Linked DNA regions of Chlamydomonas reinhardtii. The protein of the gene in region 2 interacts with the protein of the main gene of each other region in a pairwise test. Links are inferred from orthologs where the notes say so. Each region holds a gene or a part of one and is shown on either strand. Other genes may lie near its edges. The genes, in order: CHLRE_16g651500v5 and CHLRE_12g498100v5.

Region 1 (14,839 bases), on a different chromosome or scaffold from region 2:
TCAAGCTTGTGTTGTGGCCAATCTGCACACCCTCGCAGACGAGCTGGCTCGTTTTGCGGACGTGAACCAGCTGGACGCCAGCAGCAGCTCCCAGATGGCGGCCATGCACCGCCACCTGCGCCGCAACACCGCTGTGGTGGACTTCTGGCTGCGCTTCTGTGTGCTGCCGGCCGAGACCCGCCAGTACCCCCAGCGGCTGGGGGCGAGTGCCTGGGACCTGGCGGCGGCGGGCGCCCGCGTCATGGGCTTCAGCGGCACCAATGACAATTACCGGCTACTGCCGCTGCGCGTGCACCAGGCGGTGCCAGAGGACGCTGCCCTGAAGGCCACGAACGGCAGGATGCTGGACGTGATCATCAACTGCACTCGTGGCTTCCACACACTGCCGTCTGTAGAGGTGAGGCGTCAGTCGAGCGCACTTGCATACACCGCCAGCTTACTTTCATGACTTAGGCCACACAACGCCGGGCGGCATCCAGCAAGTACAGGTGATGCGGTGCTAACCCTTTACCTCCGCCGCACCGCAGGACTCTGGCGGCGTGCCTGTGTGGCAGTCGCTGCTGCAGATGGCGCTGGACACTGGGGCGCATGCGGTACAGGACTGCGGCGCACTGATGGCGGGCACCAGCAACAGGTGCCCAGTTCTTCTGTTTGACAGGGGCGGCAGTCTTGTGTCTAAGCGAACTTCACGGAAGCACCGCTAAGCGGATTTTACCAATTGCTTCTCAATTTCCATCCTGCAATCCGTCCGGTCCTCTGCCGGCGGGCCGCAAGGCTTGCTGTAACCTTATGCGCACGTCCTGACAACTGCTCATTCCCGTCGCTCCTGCCTCGCCCGCCGTCCCCCAGGCGCGCTGCTGTGTTCCTGCTAGCTGGGCCGCGTCTGCAGCGCCTGCAGCAGCTTGGCTTCCGCGGCGTCACCTATTTTGATGAGGCGGCGCGCGGCTGGGTGGTACTGGAGCACACCGGCCGCTGCCTGCCACGAGCCAGCTCGCCGCTGCAGGAGCACGAAAACTTCGTGCTATATGATGAGGCGCGCTGCCGTGGCGCGGACCTGAAGCTACAGCGGAGCGCGGTCGGGCTGCTGACGCTGGGGCCGCGCGTGTGCAAGGACAAGCTCATGCAGGCGGCGGGGCGGCTGCGGCAGCTGGGCCGCGGCCAGGCACTGCGCTTCGCTGCAACCGCTGACATTGCTGCTCGCGTGGTGGAGTACGCCGCAGCATCCGGAGCAGCTGGCGGCGCAGCGGCTGCGGTTGCTGCAGCCGCAGGCCCTCGCGCTGTCGACGTGCTGGCGTGGGTGATGGGCAACACCGTGGACGCCAACCTGCACGGCGTGGCGCAGTGGGCGGCGCAGGGGCTGCACTTCGCGACCACCCTCGGCGCTCCGGAGCGCTCTGTGCAGGATGAGGTGCTGGGCCTGCGAGAGCTCTACGCGAGCAGCAAGGCGCCGCACCCCGTTGGCAATGTGGTGGCGGCGGCCGCGAAGCAGGCGCGGCTACGCCGTGGCAGTGGCGCAGGTGGCAGCACCAACAGTTGTGCCGCAGCAGCCCGGGCTGCCGCCGGCAGTCGCGGCAGGCCGGCAACAGCCGGCGATGCTGATAGCAGTCTTTGCATTGGGTCAACGGCAGCAGCAGCAGCGAAGATCGTAGATGAGCTTGAGCAGCTGGCGGCGCGCTACGGCGAGGGCCACTCCGTCCGCGCCGGCAGTGGCGCGGACGAGGAGTGTGAGCGGGAGCTGGAGCAGGAGGAAGAGGAGGAGCAGGAGGTAGAAAAGCAGCCGCCGAAGCAGAAGCCCCGGCTGGAGACAGACTGGCCATCATACTCCACCGCGTGCACAGCCTCCACTCTGGTGCAGCTGCAAGCAGCCACCGCGCACGGCACGCTGCAGCCGCTTTCTACAGCGGTGGATTGGTTGGACAGCCAGGACCCGACCCAGCCCATGGACGCTGTACCCTGGTCAGACAAGGTGTACGTGACCCAGAACTACCTGCACGCCATCGCGGACCCGCCCGATGACCAGCCGCTGAACGACTACCTGCGACCGGTGGGCTGGCTGCTGGTGCTGGCGGGCGGGGAGGTGGTGCTGCTGTCGGAGCGCGAGGCAGACCAGCTGCTGGCAGCGGCCTGGCATGCAGCGGCCAAAGGCGCCGCAGCTGCTGGCCGTAGCGGTGCCGCGGCAGCGGATGGGCCGCTGCTCGTGAGCCTGGCCTACGCCTGGCAGGCGGTGGCCTTCCCAGCGCAGGCCAAGACGCCGCTGCTGGTCACTAACCTGGGGATGGCGGCAGCTGGCATCACGCAGGCCCCTGCGACTGCATGGGCTCAGCTCAAGGAGCGGCTGGGTGTCCGTCAGCTGATCAATGTGCGGGTGTTTGCCGGCGAGACCTCCTACCGGGTCCGCCCGGGCCTTGCGGGCGCCGCACTGGGCAATGGGAACGCGAAGCTAGAGGCCGCTGCTGTGGAGGCGGAGCTGCGGCGCCTGGTGCAGGGGCGGCGGCCGCAGGTGCAGCAGCTGCTGGTGATGCGCGGCCGTCAATCGCAGATGTCGCGCAGTGACCTGGAGAAGGCGGTGGAGGGGCTGCAGCTGCAGCTGTGAGAGGAAATTGGAAATGGGCTGCAGCAACTGCATCGTCGAAGTCCATGTGGCCCCACTAACTCCTTGGAGTCCGGAGGCGCGTTGGGAAAAACAAAGGTCCATGTCGATGGGGAACATGTAGCACCATGTCCGTAGCCTTCTGACTTCCTGAATCTAAGTAAGCGGCTGCATGGACACAGAATAAAAGGGAATGGCGTGGCATGCTGCATGAAAGTCGAATTCGGTTGCGTTGACAGGGCAAGGTTCGTGGAGTAGCGCGGATTCTGACGGTTATGGCTATTCGTCAGGAACGCCACGAAGGGATACAGGTGTGTGACGTTGCTTGTTGCGTGTTGGTGGTTGCCTGGCACGGTGTGGCGAAGAAGACGCGCCATGCAGGCATTAAGCGCTGTGCACGAGAGGAGCTGAGGGCCCAGGGGGCTGAGGTCACAAAGTTGGAGTTGGTGTCAACTATCATGTTGCTGTTGCATGTTCCTGGTGCATGTACTCTGCGTGATGCTTACTTGGCCGTACCGTGGTATCTGTAGAGCCCAAGCTTGTGCCAACTGCGAGATAGGAAGCAAGCCATGCTATTTGTTCAGCAGCAGAGTTACCGTATGCACGTTGCCGCGTCCCTGATCCAGCCGCCCCAGGTGGCCAGGGCCGTAGCCATATGCAACCAGGGCTGCCAACAGGATGGGATCTACAACCCGTCAAAAACGACTTGACACCTCCAATCTCGCGCTCCTTCACCTCCTTGACACAAAAAGGAAAGCTTACAGCTATCTCCCACCACCAGGCGCTAGTGACCACACCCGTCTTCTACGGCGCATATACCGTGTCGCTGGAGCTGCAGCTGTGAAAGAGGGGTTGCGTAGGCACAAAAATAGCTGACAGAAATAGCTGCGAAGGCCGTGCCAGTTGATATATAGGCAACCGTCATAATGGCATGTGGTTGTCAAGGTATTGCTGTGCGGTTGCTGCCGAAGGGTGAACATAAGGAAAGTCGAATGGCATCAGCGTCTTTCTGTGTGTTGGCGTTTGCATTGCTGCCCTGTGTGGGCCGGGACACGCCGAAAGAGCTGACGACACATAGCAAGCGGGTGCGTGCCGTGCCGTGTTTGAGGAACAGAGGAAGATGTACGGTATTCAAGGAGGTGCTGCAGACTCGGGTACATCCCGACTGATTCCCGAGCGTCGATTTACTGAGATCGGCTGATCGGGTACTGAGTCAATTGACAGGATTGCCCCCCCCCCTCCACCGCCCAGGACGCGCCGAGGTGGCTCGCTCAAATGTTAGTCCCAGGTTTGCGTACATTCATGGAATTAAAGCAGCTGTCGTGCGGCGACCGTCATGGCGGCACCAGTACCGTGCGATGTGTGCCCTGACCCACACGTGCCAATAAACACAATCGCCACGGTACGCACACACCCAGCAGGTTCAGGAGCAGAATCGTGAACGTGTGTAGTGGGGGCATTCCAGCCCTGCAGTCCTTTAGCCCCTTGTCTCAAGCTGCACTCCTGTGGCCCCTGCCTCACTCCTGCGTATTCAGCCTGCTTCGCCTACTCAACAACTGCCGCAGGCTGCGCACTACCGGTGACTGCGCGCTCCCCCTCGCTCGCAGCAACAGCTTGCCACTCTCAACCTGCCTTTCCGGGTTCCAACCAGCCGGCCAGCCATAAACAAAACCAGCCACCCCGGCGCTCACAAATCCAAGCAAGCGCCTACCCGTCCATCCCAGATGCCTAGGCGCCGCACCCAGCAGCTCCCACGCCCACATGCGCGGGTGCAACGCAGCGCTCTGCGCCGCCCACAACCTTCCTTCTCGCGAGTCTGCGTGCCTCCTCAGCACTGCTGCCCAGTTACCTCCGCCTGCTGTGGGAAGGGACACACAACCCGAGGGTCAGTACGGTCTGTGGCAAACACCGTCTGTGGGCACAGCGACACCAGCAGCCCCCGAAGCGCATCTTACGCCGCCACAGCATTCACGGCAACAAGAACTCGCGCCTCCACGCACCCCCAACACCCCGACCCCACGTCACACTCCGCCCCACCACCCCATCGCCCCACTGCCTCCAGCCCCTGCTGCACTCTCTGCTGCACTCTCTGCTGCGCCCTCTGCTGCGCTCCCTGCTGCGCTGCTGCCCCCCCCCACACACACACACATCCCCTGCTGCGCTCTCGCTCACCTCTTGGGCCGCCCCGGCGCCCGCTCTCCGCGCGCGCCGCCCGGCCCCATGATCATCATGCGCTCCTCGCGCTCGCCCGGCCCCAGCCCCAGTCCGGCTGTGCCCACGCGGTCCTCGTCCATCATGTCCAAGCCGCCCATCATGAGCCCCTCGTCCATCAGCGCGTCGTTGGCGCGCGCCTCGGCCTGAGGCGTTGGAATGTGGGATGGCGGTGTGGGGGGGTTGTGGTGTGTCGGTGAGTGGTGGGGTGTGGGATGTGGGGTGTGTGTTTGTGTGTGGGGGGTGGTGGTGGGGTGTGGGGTGGGCGGGTGGGGGATGAGGGTTCCAGGCAGGACTACCAGGTAGTGGCGGTCGCGGGGGAGTCGGTTCCAAAGCCAGAAGCCCAGTCTGGGTAAGTCTGGGTACGCAGCGGCCACGATGGAATTTTGAGCAGAGATTCACACATCCCTGCCGCACCTTGATGTTGCGCTTGGCCTCCTCAATGCGCGCGTCCAGCTCCTCCCGGTGTTGCCGCGCCGCGTCGGCTGTGGCGGTCGCGTAGTTGACCCGCGCCTCGATGGCGCGGAGCAGCTCATCACCCGCCGCGATCCTGTAATGTTTCGTTAAGGAACGTCACATGGTTTCGTCCTGGTTTGTGTTGTAGTGTGTCGAGTAGCGTTGTCGTCAGAAGCGGCCGCAGGTTTCGTCGCGCTGGACTTGCTTTGGGCGGCGAACCCCAGTGCACTGCACGGCTCCTGCTCCGCTCGTCTCCCCCCCAGCGATATCCGATACGGAATATACCATGAGCGGGCACCTGTACCTGGCCCACCCGCCAACTTGAGAGCTAGCAGCCGCATCCATGAATGCCGTAGCCCCATTCTCCCCCCAGGTGGCCCTTCCTCCCCCCCAGGTGGCACGCACTCACCAGCACGCCATGCGCTGTGTGATCTGCGGCAGGTCCTCACGCCGCACGTCCCGACCGATCACGTCGTGCACCTGAGGCCGGCGGCAGGCAGGCAGTGGCCGTCAGACGGCAGGAGCAGGTGTTGCATCCGAACGGCCCCGGGCCACGTCGGACAGGGGTCCGCTGGGGTCCCGGGCAGGCCAAGCATGCACGGCCGTGCCGTCACGTGCCCCGCACAAATTATCACCTCCCGCCCGCCTGGAGGACAGACACCTCAGCGCCCAACGCCCCAGCCCGTGGCCCCAACCCAACGCCCCAGCCCGTCGCCCCAACCCTGCTGCATCTTCCCCATACCCACCCTCACTCAAGCGTCATTCCGCCCCTGCCACCACGCCCCTCTTAACCCCCGCCCTGCATGACTCGCTGCTTCGCTTTCCGTCGCCCGCAGCCCGCCCGCCCGCCCGCCTCTGCCACCAAACCCCAAACGTCCCCTCCCCCGCGCTCCCGAACCGCCCCGCCCCAACGCGCCCACCTGCAGGCAGGCCTGCTTCTGGTCCAGCTTGCCGGCCGTGATGACTCCGGCGTAGAAGCAGTGGTTGATGAGGAAGTCCTCCAGCTCGCGCACACCGCTGATGGACACCGCGGACTGCAACTGGCTGTATGGCAGCACCTGCACGGGGGGGGGGTTACATTCATGACTATATAAGATGTGAAGGCGTAGCCAGAAAGAGTAATTCAGTATTATAGCAGACGCGGGGGGGGGCGGCGCGGCAGGAGGGGAGGGAGGGGGAAGTGGGCCCTCCCGCGACCAGGGGCAGGCATAGATGCGGGAGTCATGATGGTGACTGGGGAGGCACAGGACCAGCAGCTGCCTACTCTGTACTCTGGATGCGTCAAGCCTTGAAAAGTTCTGCCCGCACACCCACCCACCTTCTCCGACGCGGCCAGGGACGCCACCGTCAGCTGCTTGAGCTTGAGCGCCTGCGCCTCGCTCAGCGGCGGCAGGCTGGACGCGTTGGCTGTGGGTTATGAGGTGTGGGAGGTGTGAGAGGCATTATAGGCGATATCGACACGCGTGCGTAACAATGCGAGACGTGCACGTACACATCACAGAACGGCGGCTGACCGCAGCACGCTTGACACACGGCTCCACTTCAAACCCCTCGATAATACCTCTTCGGCCTAGACGGGCATGGACAACCGCACGGATGCCTTGGCACGCGCCAAGCGCATGCACATGTGGTGGTCGGAGCAACCGTTCCATTCCGTGGCAGGCACCACCAGTCCCCATCCACACCCGCGTGCGTCTCACCCTGGTAGTCGGACCACGTGCCGTATGCGAAGAGTTGTAGGAGCGCATTGTGGGACGCCAGGTCGGTTCCTTGCAGCTGCGCAGTATATGTGCGCGGCGCACGACTGTGAGACTCAGCTGAGGAAGGGGACGGCGTCCAACAAAGCTTCGCCCCGCCTGACACGCCGCACGAAACCCACACCCGGCACCACCCGTGCACCCACTCCTTCCCTCCATGGCCCTTGTGTGCGGGCCCATGCCCCCTCCATGGCAAATCGCCAGCGAAACTCACCTCCTTTACGCTTTGCACATCCAACAGCTCGCCGAAGCCAAACACAGCGGGGTCCCCGGTTGCCTTAGCGATGAGGTCCGTCAGGCCTCGCCCGCGGAGGCCCTTCGCCAGCAGCACATATTGCTGAATCTTAGCATCCTGGTCCATGATAACAGACCTCGCCTAGTGCCTCCAAAATGCGCAGCTAAAGACGTAGGAGCGGGATCTGCCCGCTAGTTCCGGAGACCAAGGAGCTCTCCCCTGCCTATCACTGCAGCATGGACGAGGACCTATCCGATGAAAGTCTTGCAGTAGTTAAAGGAGAAATGCTGGCTGAACTTCAGAACCCTCGGTTCAAGCTTATGGGCAATTCTATTGGCGCGGGCATAAATGTTTATGTTAAAGTCAAACTCTTCAGTATGAAGCTGTGCACGCGGAATGGCGTAGGGTCCTCGCGTGCCGACCGCATGATGAGTGCAGGCCCCCCTCGCTCTACGAGCGCTCTCCCGACCGTGCTTGACTGTGACGCACGCATTTATGTTTAATTAGGCGTACTTGGCACACGGCACAATTCATAGATCTGAGGGAAACGTACCACGCGACATCTTAAGCCTCAAGCGGAGTTACCTAGGGCCAGAACGCAAGTATGTCCGCTATGCTGGTTGGCCGGCAAGGCCTAGGTGTGGCGTGCTCTTCCCGCACGCAGTCGAAGCTATTTGCGAAGCCCCAGCCGGTGCAGTCGCAGAGGTGCGGCGGGCAAACCAGGCGTTGTCGCAGCCCCGCCCTGATCACCGCGGCCACGTCACTGCATCAGCTTAAGTTTCAGCCGATTTATTGCATTGCTGGCGGTATTGACGTGGCCATCGCTCGTGCGGCGCAGGGCGAGCATCGTTGTGCGGGTGACCCAGCAAAGCCCCGACACTAAGACCGTGATCACCAAGACTACCCCTGGCGAGCTGCCGCTGCCATGGTCTGAGAAGGATCCCTACAAGCTGCCCTCCTCTATCGAGAAGGTGCAGCGGATGCTCTTTGCGCTCGGTAGGTTTTTCGCGCTTCTGTTTTAGCGTAATAGCGCGACGTGCTAACATCCATCTGCATGCAGGCTGGGAGAAGCCTTGGATTGAGCAGATTGTGGACCGCACTATGAAGGGGATGCTGCGCACCACCGAGGAGCGCGCCAAGGGCGTGGTGAGTGAATGTTGACCCCTCGCGACGCTATGGACGCGTCTCGCTGGAAGAAGTGTTGCTAACGCGTCTTGGTCGGGGTACGCAGGTTGACTACCTGACCAGTGTGGGCCTGAAGCAGGATGAGATTTGCAACATGGCGTCCATCAGCGTTGTGCTGCTGGGCCTGAACCCGGAGACCCGCCTGAAGTCGGTGGTGGACTACCTGAAGCGGAGAGGCGTGCCGGGTGAGGCCAGCCAGGGGGCTGGGGTGTGCAGCTGGGGTCGGGCGCTCGGCCGAACGGGGTTAGGGTTTTGGAGGTTGCACGTGCACGGCACACGGCCGCGGACGGGCCAGCGCCAGTGCGGCGGGCAATGCAGCGGTCCTGGCCAGGGCACACGCCCCAAGCTGGGGCTGCAGGAGCCCAGGGTTGCGCAGCAGACAGCTCACCACCGACGGGCGTGGGTGGGAATGACTAGGCGACCGAACAGGGCGACCAGGCGACCGAACCGGCAGGGCAGGCGCCCGTGTTCACGGCGGCATCAGTGGCGAGCACACCACAGCTTTACACCAACGTAGCCCGATGCTGCCTCAGCAGCATCCTGCACGTCCGCCCGGGGGTGGCCTGGCCGTCACGGAGCCATGCGGCTTGCCACTCAGAACAGCTGTACGCACTCCCACCCGGCACCAACCAAGCCCGGGTTTGCTGCCTGTCCTTTGCTGTGCTCCTGCAGACTCGGGCATTCCCGACCTGGTGCTCAAGCACCCGCGCATCTTCGAGTACAAGCTGTCCGCGGACGGCTCGGAGCTGGTGAAGGGCCGCGCCCGCATCCAGGTCAGCGCGCGCGGCGGGGGAGCAGGCGGCGCGGCGGCCCTGGGGATTCAGGGGGAGGGATGTGCAGGTCGAGGCACGAGAGCTGGATGAACAGTGGGGCTGCATGGCCGTGGCCATTGGGGTTGGGGTTCGGGCCACAAGCAGGGCCGCGGCCGCCGGGTTGCGTGGGAGCCACATGAGGTGGTGATGACGTGGACAGGGCCTTCGCACGACAGGGACTTGAAGGCAGCAAAAGCTTCAAACCATGCGCCGAGCCGGTGCCATAACAGCAAACAGATACAGACGCACACGCATAGCCGTATTACCATATGCCAGATGGGCCGCGCAATTTTAACCGCAACCTTGCCCGCCCGCCTGCCCGCGCGCACGTGCACGCACAAACAGGTGGACGTGGTGCCCGTGGGCGCCAACGGCGAGCAGGCGTGCGCCGTCAACTACTTCCGCGAGGGCGCGTCCTTCATGGAGGCGCCCGTGTCGCCCGTGGGCCCTGTGCGCGCGCCCTAAGCGGCTGGCGGCGGCGGCGATGTCAGCAACAGCAGCAGCGGCAGCAGCGGCAGTCGGTGTGGCGGGTGCGGTGGCTGTGGTGGAGGAGCTTTGGTGCGGCGGCAGGTGGTGTTTGAGAGGCGGAGCGGCTGGCGAGCTAGCGGCGAAGCGGGCACAGCGCTGGTGGGCGAGCGGCTGAGTTTGGGACTACGCAGAAGCTGCAGCGGTGCGCCCTTGGCCTAGGCCTGCCACGGCAGCGGGCTGACCGTAATGTATGGCTGCGCCCGGTGGGGATGCGCGTCAGGGCGGTCCCCGGCGCGGAGCAGCCGTTGTCGCTGTCCTGTTTCGTAAAACTATGGTTGCGTGCAACGAGCTGTTGGCGGGGCCACGCCGTGCGTCTCAAGGCTGGGGATGCGGAGACGCGGACAGTGCGATTGGGTCTCAAGTCAGGCTGCTAACGGTTTCAAGCGGATTTCGAACGCGTTTGTGTGGCGTGCCGTGTCACCTATGGCGTGTGTACGGGTTAATCCGTGCTTTCAAATGGGAAAGCTATTCAGGTTGCAGTTCTAGGCGGATGTCACAAGGCGGTGTGGAACTGCCGCGCAAGGACCAAGGTAGTGGACGAGGAGCGTTTTGGGCGGACACGGGTAGGCTGCTAGGTCATAGCGGACTGGGTGTGGTGTAATCCTCTTCCACGGTGCATGCCATTCAAGTGCCACGAAGACGCGGTGAGGAGGCTCTGGAGGCAGTCACTTGTAACAAAATTGCGAGTACAAGCGACCACCTTCTGTACCAGTACGCCGATCGGATTGTACCCTGGCCGACCCTGGCCGACGCCCCCAAGCGCCTGAAGTATTGCAAGCACATTGCATGAAGGTTACAAGAAGGGACAATGCAACCAAAGGGATATTCAAGCCAGACAAGGGGAAACCACCCTGCCCTGGTTCGCAGTCTACCTCCCACAGCTACGCGGTACGCACAGACAGCCTAGACCCCGCCGAACCCGCCTGAGCCCCGCCTAGCCCGCCTGAGCCCTGTCAATCCACCTACACTCAACCGTCATGCGTTTCCCATCCACCGGATGCACAGGCAGGGTCGCGTCCAGTTTCCTCCAACACATGCCGCCCACATTCCTCCAGGGTCAGCGCCTGACGCCTGGCCAGGGCCGCTTTTGCCTTCTCATTAGCCGTGGTACGTGACAGGGGTACTCTCCGCTTTCGTGAATACCGCGCCTACAGCCCAATAGAGAGCGCCATTTCAGCCGCCATTTGCAGAGCTGCACGGTAAACATCCGAGGACAACACACTCCACCGCCTACGCAAAGGCAACACTGCGCACAGCTGCGCACAGGCGCAAGGCTCATCTGGTGCTTGACAGGTCCCTGCGCATCAGGGCAGGGCGTTTTCCCTGGCCTGACATGAATGTCCCTTTCATATGACTGTCTCTTCTTGTCCTTGCAACCAATGAAAGCATGGTTCAACGGCCAACCGAACAACTGCAAGCACGTGAACAACTACGGCTCCTCCTGCCTGTTGCTGTCCTGTGTGTATCTACAAAAGACAGCTACGACTGTTAAAGGCACCGCAAAGGCACCGCAAAAGATGGTGAACAATTCCGCCTTGTCGAACCGGGGAGACCGCGCTCCCCTCAGCAAAGACAACACCCCCGACTCGGCCACCGACTCAGCTCCAACACAGCGGCGCATTGGCAGGGGTAAAGCCCCGCGAGTCTTATGTGTAAGCAGACCTGGTCGGGCGGCGGAGACACGTGACACAAAGGCCGTGTACCGTAAGAGACGCATGCACGGGTCCCGGCCGAACGGCACAAGACACGGCTGCGCCCTAACAACAGAATGCCAAGCGAAAATCATGTGCGACATCTCCAAATCAGACAGCTCAATAGCTTGTCAACTCAACCCCATCATGGAATGCAGCGAAGCGCTCAAACCAAAGACCTGCGCACGATACGGTAGTGCGCCACGTGCACAATGCACCACCACAATGCAGGACCGTAACACTGCCGTACGCACACACGCCTGCGCATCTTGCAGCCTAATCTACTGGCTTGGCTCGTGCTGCGCGACCGTAGGTACGCAGCATTGCAACATTGTGTACGTGATGGTGGCTATGCAGCAGGCCTGTGCTTGTGCCTCAGAACAGTGTGAAAGAAACCGTTGTCCTTCGTATCGCAGTCCACACACCTCAGAACTGTGCAAGGTATGTTGTTTGCAGTATCGTGAGCAACCTCGAGCAAGCAAGTACGTAGCAACTAACACATACGACAGAAGCCCCCAAGTTGTGTGTCACACGCTGCTAGGGTTGACCCCTACACAGCACGCGCGCTGACGTGCTGACATGCCTTTATTCCGTTCGAAAGTTACGTATGCTCCGACCAGCGTTTATGCTCATAGCATTGGAAGCCACATAATGGCTTGCGTAGCATACATAGCGGAACGTAATTGCATGTACCCCTGTTGCACGCACTGTTTGCGTTGGCCCCGTGCGGGGACATCGCCGCGGAATACCGCATGTGCCTCTTCCTTCCTTGCTCCGTGCAGCTCCGTGTCTCTCTTGGTAGGTACGATGGGCATCATAACGATGTTCATTAATCAGTTGTGTCCATACCGCTGAGGCTGAGGCGCCCCATGCGCAGGTAGCGCAGGCTCAGGCCAGTCATCAGCGCCTTGAGCTGTGTATCTTTCTGCACGTCGTTGCGCACGCGCGGGCGCGAGGAGGGGTCCGGCCACACCTGCCGGGCGGCAATGGGCGTGTGATGGGACAGTGGTAAGGCAAGTTGGTGAAGTCCCGTAGGGTGCAGCTGATTCCCAGAACCCAACAAATGGCATACAATTGGCAGCGGCAGGGCAGGAGTGCGCGGCTGGTCGAACGCCGGAGTTACTGTACCGACGAGTTGCTGGCTGGCTGGGCGGCAATGGGCGTCAATTGGCCTCGTGCATTGCGGAGGCACGCAGGCGAACGTGGCCTGGTATTGGCGGGACCCGTGGAGCCGCCCAACATCCGAACCCGATAAAACTACACGGCTGCCGGCACGCCCGCCGCCACACCACGCACCAGCCCGCTCGCTCGCTCCCACTCACCCGCTCCATGGCCGCGTCCAGCACGCCGCGGGCATTCGTGCGGCGGTAGTGCTTGTTGATGTGCGAGATGTCGCAAAGCAACACCTGCACGGGCGACGATGGAACAAGTGGCTGGCCAGATGGGGCATGCCCTCAGGGCGGCGGTGGGACGGGCCGCCAGGGTGGCTGAGTGTGTTGCACTCCATGCGGGCAGGCGGCACGCCCGCTGTACTCCGTAACTCACCCAGGTGCCGGCCTCCAGCGCTGATGGCTCAAACATCCCTAGTTTCAGACAGCGCCGCAGCACCATCTCCACGGCCTGGCCGTGCCCCGCGCGCGCCGCCGTGTGCAGCAGGCACCAGCCGTCCTTGGTGCTGGCCGTGAGCGCGTCCGCGTCCACGCGCGGCAGCAGCCACTCCAGCACGCGCACCAGCCCATACCTGCATGCGCACTTATGAGGCGTGATAATCAACTAGACCTTTGGGAGCTAGGCACCGCGTGAGGTGATCAAGTCGATCGCCACCCGGCCACCAAGTCGCGCGGCCTGACCTGCAGCAGGTGTGCAGCGCTGTGTCATGACACTCAAAGTCTTCCTGAAGGCACAGCTCCTTGATCGCGTCGGCCGGCCCAAGCCCGCCTGCACCACCTCCGCCGCCACCTCCGCCGCCTCCGTCGCCTCCTCCGCCTCCGCCGCCGACCGTGGTGAACAGCACCTCAAACACCGCCACCACCTTGACTTGCATGCGGTCCGACATCACACGCGGCGGCGGCGGCGGTGGCTGCGGTGCAGCCGATAGCGACTGCGATGCCGCTTGCGCCGCCTGCGCCGTCTGCGTTGCCGTCGGCGACTCCGGCGGCGACGGCGACAACAGGCCTTCAAGGTCCAGGACCTCGTGGATAATGGAGTTCATGATGCCATAACGTTTATGATGACCGCCGCGCATATTCAGGATGCGCTTCACGTCGCCGCAGAACTCCTGTCGTGAGCAAGTGCAGGAAGGATACGCATATACGTCAACAATACCATACGCCGATAATGTCAAGAAAAGGATACAATAACTCCGCCCTGTACCGTGCTGCAATATGACCTAGCTAGCTTGGACGCACCCGGGTGATGAGCGTCCTGAAGTACTCCATGGCGGCGGCGACGTCCTCCTCGGAATCCAGAAACGTCCGGATGCACTTGCGCAGCCGCGCCGCGTCCTTCATCGCCTGGCTGAGAGCCTCCACGTTGCTGCTGCTGTCACCGCCGCCGCCGCCACTGCTGCTACCGGCGGCGTCACCGGAAGCACCAGCAGCCGCCGCGGTGGTAGGGACAAGCCGTCGCCGGCTGGCGCGGTGCTCAGCCTCGTTCACCTCCGCCGCCACCTCCGCCGCCGCCGTACCGCCCTCGGCCGCCGCGCACATGCCGGGAGCAGCATCAGCAGGGCCCATCGCGGCAGCCAGCACGGCGGTCGCGGCGGCTGTAGCAGCCGCTACAGCTGCGGCAGCCGGTGCAGCGGCGCAGGCTGGCGGTACCGCTGACGGCGGCGGCGCATCCTGCCGGACCCGCCGGCATCTGCTTGAGGTGCTGGCCGGCCGGCAGGCCTTGCTACTGCTGACGGTACCGTTTGCTGCCGGCGCCTGCTCATGCTCCTCCGCCGCAGACGGCACTGCTACTGCTACAGCAGCCGGTCCATGGCTGCCGGCCCCTGCCGGAGCCTGCCCCGGCGGTCGCACCACGTTGCTGCGTAGGCAAAGGCGAGCGAGGGCGCTTAGGACACATGTGGCAAGCGCAGTAGCACTACATGCAAACTTGGCACGTGCGCACAACCGGCCGACGCCTTGCTTGTGACCGCACACCCAAGGCAAAGGCCAAAAGCACTGCCCACATCAACCCTGCGCCGCTAGGACCACAGCCCGCATGCAGTATGCATGGGCATGCAGCCGCCGCAGCGAGCACTACTCACATGCACGGCCAGGACTTGCCGAACTCAAAGGTGGCCACCACGCTGTCCCGCTTCGCCGTCACCTGCACCATCTGCCCACCGAAGCCATCATCTCCGCCCGACGTGTTACCCTTGCCGCCCCAGC
Region 2 (14,849 bases):
CAAAGCAGCCATGGCTGGTCGGCGGGCTGTGGTCTCGCGCACGCACTGCCAGTCCCGCGCATCCATCCCTACCCATCTCATACCCAATGCAATCTACCTGCCGTGTGGCCACGCCGCCTGCCTGTGCCCCCACTCCCGCAGGAGCTGCTGCTGCTGCTGGACGAGTATTGGGAGGCGCACAAGTCGGAGCTGAGCGGCATACCCATATACCAGGTGTGTGTGTGTGTGCGCTTGTGCGCTTGTGCGCTCACCAATGCGCACTCCGACTGCTGGCGGCACCCAAGGGCTGGCATGTATTAAATCTTTGCTGCCTAGCTTCTCAACAACGCACCCAGTAGCAACGCCTACTCCTTCAGAACCTCCTCCACTCTTCTCCGGCCGGGCCCCCCCCCCAAATCGTCGTACAAAGTAGTATGCATGGACCCCACCCACCCGCCCCACAGGCCAGCTCTATGATGAGCAAGGCACTTGGTGTGTACCAGACGTACGTGGAGTCACTCAACGACGACATCAAGAGGGTCTTCCACGTGAGCAGCGGCGAGGCCAAGGGGGGCGGGGCCAAAGGGGGCCAAGGGGGCTGGTTGGGGCCCCCTTGAGGGACAGCGCCCGGTAGCTCGACATGCGGCGCCTGCGGCTTGGCCCAACCCGTGCTGACAGCCCCGCAGCGGTTTTCCCATTATGTACTTACTGTTGCAGTTGTTGCCCTCGTCCAGCGCTCTCCGACCGCTCCACGCGCTAACGATGTCTCCACCCCCTTTCCCTTGCCCCTCTGCGTCCCGTCGCGGCCCTTCAGGAGCGCAACCCCTTCAAGTTCCGGCATGTGCAGACGCTCAAGAACCCCGCCCACTTCATCTCCGACTACAGCGGCCCCTGCGTCATCATGGCCACGCCCTCGGGGCTGCAGAGTGGCGCCAGCCGGGACTTCTTTGAGGCCTGGTGCGAGGACAGCCGCAACACCTGCATCATCTGCGACTTCGCGGTGCAGGTGAGGAGAGGCGGGCTGTCAGTTTAGGGAGGGGCGTGTGTGTGCGTCCGTGCGTCGGTGTGCACGCTGTAGTGCTCAGGGGCGTTCACGTCTATGTGTTTGTTCGTCTGCGCGTCTGTGCGGGTGCAGTGCCAGGGCCTAAGGGAGTGGACGGGGACGGGTGCTGGACAGAGGCTTCCGTCACGGTGCTCCGGGCATGCCGCTTGCAGCCGGCATAACTTATGATTCGGTACCATACGTACCTCTCACGATGCCTAGCTCACCACCGCCGCCGCTGCCGCCCTCTCCACCGCAGGGCACTCTGGCCAAGGAGATCCTGGGCGGCCCCAGCTCCATCACCACCCGGGAGGGCCGCAGGGTGGGTGCCGCCTGGCCCGAGACCTCGCGGGGGCAGGGCCCGGTCCGCCCACCTCGAACGCCCCCTCCTAGCCAACGCGCTCGTTCAGTACTTAGCGTGCGGCAACGCTGGGCAAGACCCCAATGCCCCATCACTTAGCTCCGGCCCTGGGCGTCGGGCTTGCACAGTACTAACGGCAATGCCTCCCCAATCATGTCCACCGCCGCCAGGTCCCGCTGCGCATCGCGGTGCACAACATCTCCTTCTCCGCGCACGCTGACTACGACCAGACGTCCGGCTTCCTGGACGCGGTCCGGCCGCCGCACGTGGTGCTGGTGCACGGCGAGTACGGCGAGATGCGCAAGCTGGCCAAGGCGCTCAAGGACGGCGCCAAGGCGGCGGGGGTGGCGCGCGAGGTGTACACACCCATACTGGCACAGACCGTGGCGGTGAGTGGGCTGTAGCAGGGGCGTGGTTTGGGGGCGGGGGCTGGGGCAGGATTGGGGGTGATGGGGGGGGCGTGTGGCGAGATTTGAGCAACCAGGCCGTATTAGGCCTCATCATGTATGCAATATTAGTACATCTTCGTTAATATGTATGTGTTTGTTCATGTGTGTGCATGCGCCCGGCCAACGCCCCGCTGCTGCAGGTGGAGCACAAGCCCGACCGCAGCGTGCGGCTGCAGGGCCGCCTGGGCGAGAAGCCGCCGCGTGAGGGCGCGGCCGTGCGCGGCGTGCTTGTGCGGCAGGGCGGCGGCTTCGCCACGCAGCTGCTGGCGCCCTCCGACCTGCCGCGATACACCAAGCTGCTCAAGGGCAGTGTCACGCAGCGCCAGGCCATCAGCGTGGACGTGCCGTTCACCGCCATCCGGTTGGCGCTGGAGGTGATGTTTGAGGGCGTGGAGGGAGCCGGCACGCTGCCCGTGGCCACGGCACCGGACGCGGAGGGCGGCAAGGTGGGTGTGGGTGGCGCTGGGTGCAGGCGTGGGTGCAGGCGTGTGGTGCGGGGCTGGGCGCAGATATGGCTGTGAGGCTGTGATTGCGTAAATGCCGTTTGGCGGCATTCACACAGCTGTGGATCTGTGGAGCAATAGGACTGTACTTCAGGTACCCACCCTAGCCTGCTCGCATCTTCACACTGACTCTGCCCTCCCGCTTTGTCGTCCTCCGCTTCGCAATGCTTCGTGAAGGGTGGCGAGAGCCTGGCGGTGGTGGTGGGCGAGCTGGTGACGGTGCGCTACGTGCCGGCGGACGACGCGAGCGGCGTGGTGTCGCACGTGGTGTTGGAGTGGGAGGGAGGCCGGCAGGGCGACATGGTGGCGGACGCGGTGGTGGCTGTAGTGCTGCAGGTGAGGGGGCGGACTAGGACGCGATCGCGGGCTGGCGGGCGCTTTTGAATGGGCACCGGGTGCCAGGCGTGGTGGGCGGGTGTTGAGGATGTAGCGGGTGCATGGGACGGCAATGGAGGGCAGGGCGCCTGCAATCTGGGGTCACTTCATGTTTGCTCCAGCACGCTCTGAGCCCGCAGTTTCCCATCGCTCCGTTCCCATTACAACACAGTCCATTGGCGAGCCGCCCGAGGCCACCAGCGCCGAATCCGCCATGCTGGCGGCGCGCGCCGCCGGCGACGAGGCCGCAGCCGCAGCCGCCGAGCTCCACCTGATTGGCGCGCTGCTGCGCGGCCAGTTCGGGCCGGCGGCGGTGGACGAGGCGGGCGGCCTGGTGCGGCTGGACGTGGACGGCGTGGAGGCCGCTGTGGACTACCGGGCGGGCAAGGTGGTGTGCGGCGAGCCGGGGCTGCGGGCGCGCATCGAGAAGAGCCTGGACCGGCTGGCGGCGGCGATACGGCCCGCGCCGCTGGACCGGCCGCATGACTAGGAAGACAAGGGCGTAGCGGGGCTGTGGGGTTATTGCTGGAGGAGTAAGATTATGTGGTCGGAGTACATGGTGTCGATTGTCAAGCGAGCGTTCAGGTGGGATAGAATGCGCTTGGTTGGCGGCGGGTCCTACGCTCCTTGGCGGGATCTGTACTTCTGCTTTCTGACCGACTCCGTGTCTGCAGGATGGATAGGGGTAGTGCTGCGCGCCGAACTGAAGTATATGTGGGAGTCCAGTAAGCAGTTAGGCGGCGACACAGTCTCAGACCGCACCGGCAAGTAATGCCCACCACCGCCGGCACCGCGCATAACCGCATATGAATGCAGGAGCAGACCGACACAGACAATGCCAGTCCTCATGTAACAACGTGTCGCAGCACAAACGGGCGCTGGCCCCAGCCCCGGCGGCAACGAACCAAAACCGGGCGCAGCACCTGCCTTGCATCACATGCCTCACTCCACTGCACTAGTGCATCTAGCCTGCTACAGTTTTGCAGAGGCTACTCTTGCCTCTATGGTGATGCCATCATACGCACATAATCCAGTTCTACCCGCTAGATACCCCATTCGTCTCATCCATGTCTACCCGCTAACACCCGAATTGCAAGAAAGCGAAAATGCCTGCCTGCGCTTGCGAAATTCTGTCCCGACCCCTATTCCCCCGAATGGTCCTCTTAGGTCTAGCCCGAATCCTACGTAGTTTCAGTCTCGTTGGCACAGCGTTCACACCTACATCCACAGCCCGTGTGCGGACTGCCGCACTGCCACACTGCCTGCATACACGAGAACCTATCTGCTCCTCACTACGCCAACGCCGATTGCCCCCACGCCGGTCCACGCTCAGGCTTATCCAAAGCATGTGCCCGTCCAGGTACACTCTGCAGCCACCAGCAGCGGGCAATGCCGACCCTAGCCCCAGGAAATCCATTGCCTGCAGCGCACCAGCCCGACGGGAACGCGAATGCACCGCCTCCCTAGCACGAGACAGCCCATCCAATGAGCTCACCCGAACAAGCGTTGCCGAGTCCGTGCCAGCCGCGGCTGCACAGCCCCCCGGCACGCGCTGCTGCTGGCGCGCGCGAACACACTGCCAAGGGGGCGACCCCCCCGTCTCACGTCGCTGAACAAGCATGCCCTTGCGCCCCGCCCATGGGATAATCGTGCAGCTGCTGCAAATTCCAGCCGCCGCGCTCCTACCGCCCTTCACTGTATTGCAAAGCCGCTGTCGCCCGTCTACGTCACTGCTCATCTCATCAGCACCTTCGAACGCCGCTCGCCAGCGCTGTCCCACACCCGCTGCCGCGCCCTCCGCCCAGCGCTCCTGGTCTGATCCGTGCAGCAGCCGTCGCCAGCGCTCCCACGCTTGCTGCTGTAGAAAGCTGCCCATCCCGCAACGGAATCCCGTAACTCAAAGCTCGCTGCTGTCGTGAATCGCCTGCCGAAGCGGCAGACCGCGCCCTGCACACCGCTGTCGTCCACAAGCAAGCCCGCAATCTACAAGGCAAAAGGGAATGATGGATGGCGATCAGAGCTTGAGGTAAAGTGATTCCTCGTCACGTCAACCTTTCGAACCTCTTCGCAGTTCCCAGGGCTTCTTCCGTATCAACCGGCGAATTGTTGCACGTCCGTTACCAGGCCGCGGGTCCCCTTCCTTGCCATGCCGCGTGCGGAGCACCGCTGGAACTGGGCCTAGCAGCCGTCTGCCCAATGCAATTGCTACCCCATCTACCAATCCCTTAGGAATCCAGCACTCTTCACCTCCAGAGCTTGCCTTTCTATTCCACCCCATTCCCGCCAATACCAAGCCCCAGACGACCCCCTGGCCCACATGCATCCCCGCGCCCCCGCCAACCCCATCCCGCCCGCCGCCATGGCTCCAACTCCCACCTGCTTGCTGCTCCTCCTCCCCCGGCTGCTGCTCGCCGCGGTGCCTTACGGCTTGACGCTGCCCACCACGGTGTTGGCCAGCACGTAGGTGCGCACGGACAGCATCTTGGCCTTGTCCACCAGCTGCTCGTGCACGGACTGCGACTGCGTGCCCATCACCACCGTCCCCGACTTGGAGTCAATCTTGGCGTTCAGCTTGGCGTTGAGGATGAGGTTGGCAATCCACTTCTCCGCCGCCTCCTGGTCCATGCCCAGCCGCTCCGCCAGCAGCGCAATGGAGATGGACTGGTGTATCCGGCAGTACGTCTCGAAGATGAACAGGCGCGCGTTCTCAATGAACTCGTCCTTGTAGGCCGCCAGGAAGAAATCGTTGTCCAGCACCGCCTCGCACTCCTTCAGCTTCTGCTGGGCGCCGTCGAAGTCGTAGTGCACGAACACGCACTCCAGGAACTGGGTCACTGGGTCCGAGTACTCGTACGACTCCTGCTGGATGGCGCGGATGAGCTCCTTCAGCACGCTGCGCTGCTTCTTCTTGTTGATGACCACAGCCACCGCCACGTAGCGCAGCAGGTGCGGCGCGTTGATCTGGATGGCGGAGATGTAGGCTGGGGAGAGGAACAGGTCAATGATGTCGTTGCGGCCGTTCTCATGGTTCCAGAAGACGTACAGGGACCAGTGCAGCAGCCAGGTGCGCTGCTGCAGCTGCACCAGCGGGGGGGCGAACGTCTGGTTGTCGATGACCTCCTTCAGCTTGAACACGTCCTCCCGTGCCTCCTGGATGTTCACCGCCTCGTGCATGAGGATCTCCGCAGCGAGCTTGCCCCACAGTGCGCTGATGTTGCGCTCGCTGTTGGTGCAGAGCGTGCGGTAAGACTGCAGCAGCTCCGCCGCCAGCGAGTAGTTACCGCAGTTGAACTGGAAGCGCGCGTACTGATACAGCGCCTCGACGTGCTCCGCGCCAATCTGGAACTCCTCCTGGAGGAACTGCAGGTTGAAGCTCTTATCCTGACGGAACTTCTCCACCACATGCCTGTTCTGCAGACACTTGATAATGGGGTCCACGTCCGCCTGCAGCTGGCGAAGACGCGCCACCACCTGGCTGCGGCGGTCCTTCATCTCCGCAGGCACCTCGTCCACGCCGTTTAGGCCCTTGTAGATATCCATCGCAAAATCCACCTACAACATCGAATTTTTCGCTCAGCGACCCGGACTCAAACTGGAAAGGCCGATGGCCTCTGCACTCGCTGAGCTGCCCTTCCCGCTTCCGGCATCCCCAGCCTGTCCAATAGCTCATTCCAAGTGCCAGGTCTCCAGATCTAAACACTAAGCGCGTACCATGTTCGTCTTGTCCAGCAGCGCCAGCTTGGCGCGCAGGATGTCGTCCTCATTGTAAAGGCCGCGCTCTTGGAGGTATTCCATAATAGGCAGCGTAAGGTGCAGGTCCAGATACTGGACCAGCTTGGAAGAAAGCTCATAGTTGGTGGCAGCCATCTTTCTCTCGGCGGCGGCTACGCCCCTTGCCTAGTCCTAAGGCCTGACCAGTCCGCTGTGAAACAATTATGGGGTGGGGGCTGCGGGAATGACAAAGGAACGGGCGATCTACGCCCCGGTGCGCAGCCCGCTCTCGCGCTGTGCCGGATGGGGGTCCGAGTGCCCATCGGCCTGGCCCGCTCAAAACGGGCTTTCGGACTCCGAACTAATACATAAGAGGTTAGGTGTATGTATAGATAGGGCATCGGCACATTTCCCTTTCTCTGTAGGGAAATGACGTGATCTCTATCGCCACACTCTTGCGTTTCTCTGCGCTTGCCTACGCGACTCTGGTGAGGGTTGCGGGAGCCCAGAAACAGCGCAGCCAATCACGAGACAATGGCGGCTCCGTCGGCGGTGGTCCTGCCGCCCTCCCCCAACTGGTAGGCGGAGTCGGGAGTCGGGAGCCAGCGTCCGTGCTTTGCCCACGCCGTTCGCTGCTCCTGTACTCTTGATGCGTTTTGCAAGTGGTGCAAGGGCTAGAGTGTCAGGCCTGTTCAAGCCAGTGCGCCCACGGGCCGCAAACCCGCATTCCGGAAGCAGGGGCCGGGGTCACAGCCGCACGCACTGTCAACCGCCGATTGCGCCGCGCTATGCCACATAGCTCGTAGCCCCTACATGTCAGACCACATCACACCCATTGGTAAGGTCACTGATGCGCCTCACATGCCCACAGGTTCAGCAGCCAGGTGGTGGCGGTGCTGCCGAGCCAGCAGCTGGTGGCGTATGGCGGCCACTACGCGGTGGTGGTGGCCTGCGCGCAGAGCCGCACCGTGCAGCGCATGCTGCCCACGGGCGGGAGCAGGTGCGCACAGCCTTGGGTTGCAAGGTAGTGGGTGGGCAGCGGGTGGGTCGGGATGATTGCGGGCAGCACATGCAATTTGCTGCCTGCGCTCGGCCTGCGTGTTGCTGAAGCCGCGACGCGGCCTTCGCACACATCTGGTGGCGCATGTCCTCACGTGCCAGCAACGTCCTGGCCCTGGCATAGCGAACAGCCACTGTAGTGGAACCCCAACATGCCGCTCAGGACTTGCTCGCAAGCGTGTCCCTGCCGCGGGCCTGTCGTGCAGAGTGACATGTGTGGCGTTGCCGCCTGAGAGCGTCGGTGGTCGCCCGCTGGTGGCGGCGGGCTGCGAAGATGGTTCGCTGAGGTGCTGGGACATGGTCAGCGGGGAGCCGGTGCGCACCCACCGCAAGGGCAAGGCGCCCGAGGTCACAGCGCTGGTGGCTTTGCCCAGGTGGGGCTCATGTCGGTTCGGACACTCGCAGGGTTACGGGGGCTTGCGGTACGGTAACCTTGATGGCCAAGGACTGGTATAGGGGGGCAGTCTGCACTCTGGAGTTTCCGAGGTGGTATGCTCAAGCGTTGGTAGGTATCGCGTGAATGTCCTGTGGTCACCCGGCCCCAACACGGCTCCATTGCCCACACCCTTCCAATGCCGTAGCTCGCCGGTGCTGCAGTTTGTGGCGGGCGATGCCTCCGGCGGCCTGGTGCTGTGGGTGCCCGAGACCGGCGTCCGCAAGCCGCTTACGCGCGCGGGCTCCACGGCGCCACTTCTGCCCAGCCGCGTCCAGTGCCTGGTCGCCGTCAACGTCACCGGCCCCGCCGCCGGGGCCAGCGGCCGCGTGATTGCAGGGCTGGCCGATGGCAGCATCGTGTTGGTGGACGTGGCGTCGGCGTCGGTGCTGCTGACGCTGCCGGCGGCCCACCGCGGTGGTGTGCACAGCCTGCAGCTGGCCGGCCTACCGCTCGTCACCACCGCCGGTGGCGGCGGCAGCAGCAGCGCACCGGCGCCGGGGGCGGTAGAGGAAGCACGAGCGGCACCCACGCCTGGCAGCGCGGCCGGGGAGGACGCGGCCGGTGAGCCGGCAGCGGCTCCAGCTGCTGTTGCTGCTGCGCCCGACCTGTGGATTCTCAGTAGCGGAGAGGACTGCCAGGCCAAGGTGTGGAGCCTCCCCGCCATCTCAGCCGCAGCCGCCCTGTCAGCAGCCGCGGCCGAGGCGGCTGCAGCCGCCGCTGCTGGCGGTGATGGTAGCGCTGCTGCGACGCCTGTGCTGGCGGCGCCGCCGCCACCGCAGCCGCTGGTGACTCTGCGGCTGCCTCCGCCGCCTGCAGGCCAGCAGCCAGGCAGCGGCCCGAGCGGCCCCGGCGGCGCGGTGTCGCGCAAGGCCTGGGTGCCGTCAGCGCTGGTGCCGGGCTGCGACGTGGGGGGCAGCGGCAGCGAGCTGTGCGTGGCTGTGGCGGCGCCTTGGGGCCACGTGCTGGTCTACCATGTGTCTGTGGGTGAGTGGCAGGCACGTGTTGGGTGGTTAGTTGTGTATCTTGCGCTAGGGACTTCTGTGAGACCACATGTATTGTCGCACGATGCACTTATAAGTGGCACGTGAATCATTACGCCCCGCAGGCACCGGCAAGTTTACGCTGGCAACGCGGCTGAAGCACCACGCCCGCACCGTCTTCACGCTGCACGCCATGCGCGTGCCGCACGAGGCCACCACTGCCACTGCCGCAGCCACCGCCACCACCACCGCGCTTACCACCGCCAGTACCGGCAGCGCCGCGGCGGCGCAGCCGGCCGCTTCTGGTCTACTGCTGCCGCAGGTGCGGCTGGTAACCAGTTCGCAGGACCGGGCGTTCCTGGTGGTGGACCTGGAGCTGCAGCCAGCCGCCAGCGGCACGGCTGTGGCAGTCGCCGCCGCACCCGTAGCCAACGCTGCTGCTACAGCCGGCGAGCAGGGCCACGACTCCGGGGCGGAGGAGCATGGCGCCAGCCCCGGCCACGAGTCTGAGGGCGGCGAGCACTCGGAGGGCCACGGCGATGGCAAGGCGGCAGCGGGCGGCGGCGCACGCGGCAAGCTAGCGGCGGGCCGTGCCGACACGTGCTCCGACTGGCGCGTCCGGCCCTCGCCGCAGCAGCAGGCCGTGCTGTACGACGAGGCGGCGGCGGGCGGCAGCCACGGCAACAGCCCGGCGCGAGGTGGTCGGGCGGCAGGCCCGACGCTGGTGCCTCCCGGCGCGACGCTGGTGCTGCCACGCGGCGGGGCCGTGTGGTGGCGGTTGATGGGACTGGGCGGCTACCCGCACGCCCTGGACCTCAAGGGTGAGTTGGGACTGCAACAGGAGTGCGGCCAGCCGGTTGGGTTTGGGCTTGCAAAACTTGGCTGAGCCACGTATGCAAGATTTCGATCCAGTCGCATGGCTTTTCGTCACCTGTCCCCCATTGCACCGCCTGCAGGCCCCTTCCCCGGCCTCCTAGCCGTCGGCTGCGGCGACCGCACCATACGTGCCGTTACGCTGACGCCCGGCCCACTGGCAAAGCGGCCGCAGCTTCAGCCGGCCAATGCCCACGCCCACGACCCGCACCAGCCTGCCAAGCACGCGCGCAAGCAGGGCGCAATTGATGCCGAGGGCGCCGCTGCTGACGAGCACGTCGACGAGCACGAGACTGCAGCTGAGGTGCACAGCAATGGTGCGCCGGAGGCCGGCGGCTCTGGAAGGAAGAAGGGCGGCGAGGCGGCGGCGGCCGTTATGGCGGCGGCAGGCGGCGCGGAGGGCCCCTGGCCCAGCAGCCTTCTGTGGAAGGACGTGCGCGACCAGGTGGTGGTGGTGGCGTGGCACCCGGTGGACTCACGTGAGTTGCGGCAGGGCGAAGGGTGAAGGGCGGAGGGGATGCGGGGAAGCAGTCGCAGCAGGTGCGGCACTATGCCCGTGTCCGAGGTGGGCACAGCGCGGGATGGCAGCTCTTGTGCCTTGCATGCCGGCCACCGCCGCTTAGTGGGCTGATGCTAGTTCCCGTGCTGACCCAGCGGCCGCCTCCTCGCCGTCACCTACAGGCTACCTGGCGTTTGGCTGCGCGGACGGAAGTGTGGGCCTGATGGACGTTAAGACCCAGACCAGCCGCGTGTTTGGCGTGCGCCACTCGGGCCCCGTCACGCAGCTGGCCTGGGTAACGCCGCCAGCTGGCAGCGCGCATGTCAGCCACCAGGCGGCCGCGGCGGCAGCCGCGGCGGCGGCCCAGCAGCAGCAGCAAGGGCAGCAGCAACAAGGGCAGCAGCAACAGCTGCCGCCCCGGCCCAACTCGCGCGGCGGTCCGGAACGCCTGAAGGAGTCCAGCGCGTCTCAGGGCGCACAGGTGGCGCCAACATTGGCGCCCGCGCCCGGGCAGGGTGCCGGCCATCACAGCCACGGACACAGCCCTTCTCGCTCGGACCACGGCCAGGGCCATGGGCAGGGCCAGCGGCAGCAGCAGGGCTCGCGGCAGGGCACACCCAAGCACTATGTGCTCACTTCGACGCCTCAGGGTGCTGCTGCTGTGCCCGCGCAGTCCAGCCCCGAGGCGAAAGCCGCCGCGACCACGTCGCCGCCCAAGCCGGTCCCGGCGGCCCAGGCCGCGACGGTGCACGCTGCGGAGGCCGCGGCGGGCCGCCAGCAGCCCGGCGGCGCCACACGTGCGCCGTATCACCAGGGCGTGCTCGGCCAAAGGACGCCGCAGCAACACCCGCATCCGGGCCAGCAGCACCAGCAGCCGCAGCAGCTGCCCATGCCCATGGCCACCCACATGCAAATGCATGTGCAGGCGCCGATGGCGGCCTTCCCACCAGCCTTCCCGCAGCAGGGCTATCCGCCGCAGGGCTACCCGCCGCAGGCCTACGGCCAGGGCTACCCTCTGCAGCAGTTTCCGCTCCAGGGCGGCATGCCTCAGCCGCACCACGCACCGTACTTCAACAGCCTGCCGTACGGCGCACATGGTATGCACCAGCAGCAGCCGTACGGTCACGTGGCACCCCAGTACGGGCAGCAGCAGCAGCAGCACCAGCAGCACCAGCACCAGCACCACCAACAGCACCAGAGGACGGCTGCTGGGCCGTCCCGCGGGCGGCCCGGCCCCAGCGGCCAGGGCGCTTCTGGGGGTGCGCCCATGCCCCCGCCGCCTGCCGCGCCCATGCCGCCGCCGCCCGCCCCGCCGCCGCTGCCGCCGCCGCCCATGCCGCCGCCGCCCCCTGCGCCTATGCCACCGCCTGCCCCGCCGCCGCCGTCCGCGCTGCCCGGCCACATGACTCCGGACGGTGGGCGCTCGCACACGGGCTCACCGGCCACCACCCGCCCCAGTGGCAGCGGCGCCAGCGCGCAGATGCCCAGCTTCATCGTGAGCAAGGGCCCCGTGCCGGGCGGCGGCTTCAAGGGCCGCGTGCGGCCCGGCTCTGCGGGCGACCTCACCACGGTCGAGGGTGAGTCCTTAGTTTGCTTCTGCCGTGTGTGTGTGTGGGGGGGGGGGGTTGCAGGGATGTTTGGAAAAGCGGTACAGGATGCACTGAAGACTGCGGGGGGGGGGATCTGTCACGTGATGCAGGCTGCGGCTACGTTGTGGTTGCTGGGGTGTAACAGCGTAGTTAGCTTGACCTTGTTCTCATACAACCCACCCACGTCTTGCGTCGTTCCATTTGTGCAGGAGGTGCGGCGCCGGCTACCGACGCTACCGCTGCCCAGCAGCACCCGGGGGGCTCGCACGACACGGCGTCTAAAGGCGCCAAGGGTGCCGCACACGCGGATGCAGCTCACCCGGCGCAGTCCGGCAAGCAGCGTCGGGCCAGTGACGGTGGCCGCGCGGCCGCCGCAGGCGGCAGCGCGGGCCGCAGCGGCACCAGCCGCCTCGCTGCAGCGCTGTCGGGCCCGCCGCTCTTCCTTTTGAGCTGCGGCGGCGAGGGCCGGCTGCTTCGTTGGCCCGGCCCAAACCTTGACCCGGGCAGTGCGGAGCCAGGCCTGGGACCTTCACTGGCACAGGCCAAGCCAATTGACGTGAGTGACTGCTGCGGGTATTGGTGGCTTGCCACTTTGTGCTGTTTGTGCCAGGCTTTGCGTGTGTTAAGCAGTGCTACCTGGTGGACTGAGCAGGCCCCGTGCTGCTGCCATGTCTGTCGCCAATGCAGGTCGGTGCACAGCTGCAGGGCCTGGCGGTACAGGCGCTCGGCGCCGCAGCCCTGGCCCCCGCCGCCGGCAGCAGCGGCCACGGTCACCAGCACGGCCAGCACCACCACAACCACAACCAGCAGCAACAGCACGGCGGTGCGGGCGCGCCGGCCGGGTTGTCGGTGACGGCCATGGCGCTGCATCCGCGCCGGCCATGGCTGGCCGTCGCAGTTGCAGGCGGTGGCATGATCGTGGTGGAGCAGCCGGCCAAGCAGCCGGGCGAGGCCGCGACGAGCGGCGCGGGCGGCGCCCGCGCCGGGTCCGCTGGACCGTGGTCCCTGGTGGCCGCGCACACCGGTGCAGTCTCGGGCGGTCCGGACCTGCGCTACCTGCGCTGGGCGGATGACGTGGACGAGGCGCTGGAGGAGGAGGGCCACGAGCATGAACACGACACGCACCACCGCCTGGAGCACGTGGAGGAGGTGGCCGCCGCCGCCACTTCGGGCGCGCCGCCGGCCTCGCCGCCGCCGGCCGCGCTGCTGGCGGCGCTGTACGGCAAGGCCTCAGTTGCAGTGTACGGCGTGGCGGCCGCGCCCACCGCCGCAGCGGCTGGCACCGCCGTGCCTTCGACGCCGCCGGTGCAGCAGATGTACCGCCTGGCTGAGCTATCGGCGACGGCGGATGGCGGCGGCAAGGTGACGCTGAACGCTCTGGCCTGGCTGGGCCGCCGCTGCCTGGCGCTGGGCGCCGACGACGGCGGTCTGCAGCTGTGGGCGCTGCCGGAGGCCCGCGTGCTGCTGGCGGCGGCAGTCGCTCAGCACGATCCGGACGTAGACAACGGCGCCGCCGCCGCCGCCACACATGGCGTGGAGGCAGCCTCCGGTCCGGCGCCGCTGCGCATCAAGACGCTGCCTGCGGGCGGCCAGTACGGCCACCATGACTCCATCATCGCGCTCACAGGTCTGCTGGTGCCCGCCTCGGTCAAGGGCGCGCCCGCCACCTCCGCTGGCGGCAAGAAGAAGGGCCGCCGCGCCTCCGGGGCGGGTGACTTTGACGGCGAGCACCCCGCGGAGGCCGCAGGTGGGCACGACGGCGCTGACCACGGCCGCCACCACGGCCGGGGCCGGGCCGGGTCGCACCACGGCCAAGCGCACCACGACCACGGCGGCGCCAAACCTCGCGGCTCCGGCGGCGCGTGGCGGCCTGCGGCGGTGTGGCTGCTGTTCAGCGGCGGGCGCGACCAGGCCGTGCGCTGCTGGCGGCTGGAGGGCCGGCAGCTGGATGGCTGGGAGCGCGAGCGCGAGCACCAGGAGTCGGCGGCGCGGCAGAAGCAGCAGCGCCCACCGCCTCAGCACGAGGGCAAGGGTGACGGCGATGACCACGGGGGCAGCGGCGCTGCGCCAGCTCCGCAGCCGCCACCTGACGGCAGCGGCGCCGGCGGCGCCGGCGCGGGTTCTGCCGCACCGTCAGCCAGCAACGGTGACGCCCCGAGTGGCTCGTCGCCCGGTCAGCAAGCCCCGCCGGCGCCTGGCGCGGCGGCGGATGCGCCGGGTGCCGAGGTGCCGGGTGCTACAGTCGTGGCCGCCGGCATCACCGCGCCGGAGCGGTTGCTGGAGCTGAGCCCCACCACGGCCATGCGGCGCATGCGGCGGCCGCCGCCTGCCCTGGCGCGGCCGCTGCTGCCGGAGCTGCCCGACATGTCGCTACCGCACGTGGCCGCGGCGGCGCACTCACTGCTGTTGCGGCTGGGGGAGGCGCTGTACCCCCCGGCGGACGACGGCGGCGAGCATCAGGCGCGTGCAGGTGAGGAAGAGCAGGCGGCGCGGCAGCAGGTGGCGGCGGTGGCCGCCGCCTGTGGCCTGAGTGACGAGGCGCTTGCGGCGCACCTGATGAACGACGTGGCACCGCTGCGGGAGGCGGGAGCGGCGGTGGGCCCGGTGGCGGCGCCGCCCGAGCTGAGCTTCGTAGCATCGATGTGGGAGGGAGACGTGGGTGGCGCGCTGTCAACGGCTGCGGCAACGGAGGGCATGGTGAGCGCGGATGTCGTCGCGCTGGCTGCGGCGGGCGGGCGGGCTGCCTGGGAGGCGGCTTCGCGGCTGTATGCGGCGGGTATGGCGGCGGCGGGCTGCACGGGTGAGGCGGCCCTGGCGCTAGCGGCGGTGGGCGACCGCGCGGGCGCTGCCGGCGTTTACGCGCGCGCTGGCATGACGTGGGAGGCGCAGCAGGTGGCGTAGGCAAGTAAGATGCAGCAATGTGAACGCTGGTGAGGAAGGTTGGTGCGTGTTAGGTCAGCTCTGCATCTGCAAGTTGTAGCAGCATACCCTTC

The links.
Region 1: the proteins of CHLRE_12g498100v5 (region 2) and CHLRE_16g651500v5 interact in binary tests that used the Arabidopsis thaliana proteins (3 or more experiments, as listed by UniProt). The link is inferred for Chlamydomonas reinhardtii from reciprocal best matches to the Arabidopsis thaliana genes EIF3E and FUS5.

Annotation. Positions count from the first base shown.
Region 1 is NC_057019.1:1,296,883-1,311,721, forward strand, and holds CHLRE_16g651500v5 (uncharacterized protein), read right to left. Parts: upstream 7,626-14,839; 5' UTR 7,376-7,625; coding exon 7,229-7,375; intron 7,034-7,228; coding exon 6,958-7,033; intron 6,665-6,957; coding exon 6,576-6,664; intron 6,316-6,575; coding exon 6,178-6,315; intron 5,738-6,177; coding exon 5,667-5,737; intron 5,352-5,666; coding exon 5,219-5,351; intron 4,948-5,218; coding exon 4,763-4,947; intron 4,449-4,762; coding exon 4,436-4,448; 3' UTR 3,869-4,435; downstream 1-3,868. Other genes in the region: CHLRE_16g651450v5 (uncharacterized protein), read left to right, coding at 39-397, 528-634, 850-2,593; CHLRE_16g651550v5 (uncharacterized protein), read left to right, coding at 7,854-7,954, 8,088-8,245, 8,310-8,395, 8,481-8,619, 9,107-9,207, 9,592-9,711; CHLRE_16g651600v5 (uncharacterized protein), read right to left, coding at 12,295-12,438, 12,788-12,871, 13,011-13,206, 13,316-13,743, 13,874-14,492, 14,716-14,839. UniProt on the Arabidopsis thaliana protein: Component of the COP9 signalosome complex (CSN), a complex involved in various cellular and developmental processes such as photomorphogenesis and auxin and jasmonate responses.
Region 2 is NC_057015.1:3,271,823-3,286,671, reverse strand, and holds CHLRE_12g498100v5 (uncharacterized protein), read right to left. Parts: upstream 6,654-14,849; 5' UTR 6,577-6,653; coding exon 6,421-6,576; intron 6,262-6,420; coding exon 5,131-6,261; 3' UTR 3,552-5,130; downstream 1-3,551. Other genes in the region: CHLRE_12g498050v5 (uncharacterized protein), read left to right, coding at 142-213, 444-527, 794-985, 1,281-1,343, 1,553-1,771, 1,972-2,277, 2,512-2,670, 2,882-3,199; CHLRE_12g498150v5 (uncharacterized protein), read left to right, coding at 6,955-6,998, 7,292-7,420, 7,686-7,853, 8,061-8,899, 9,021-9,716, 9,852-10,247, 10,450-11,844, 12,066-12,412 and 1 more. UniProt on the Arabidopsis thaliana protein: Component of the eukaryotic translation initiation factor 3 (eIF-3) complex, which is involved in protein synthesis of a specialized repertoire of mRNAs and, together with other initiation factors, stimulates binding of mRNA and methionyl-tRNAi to the 40S ribosome.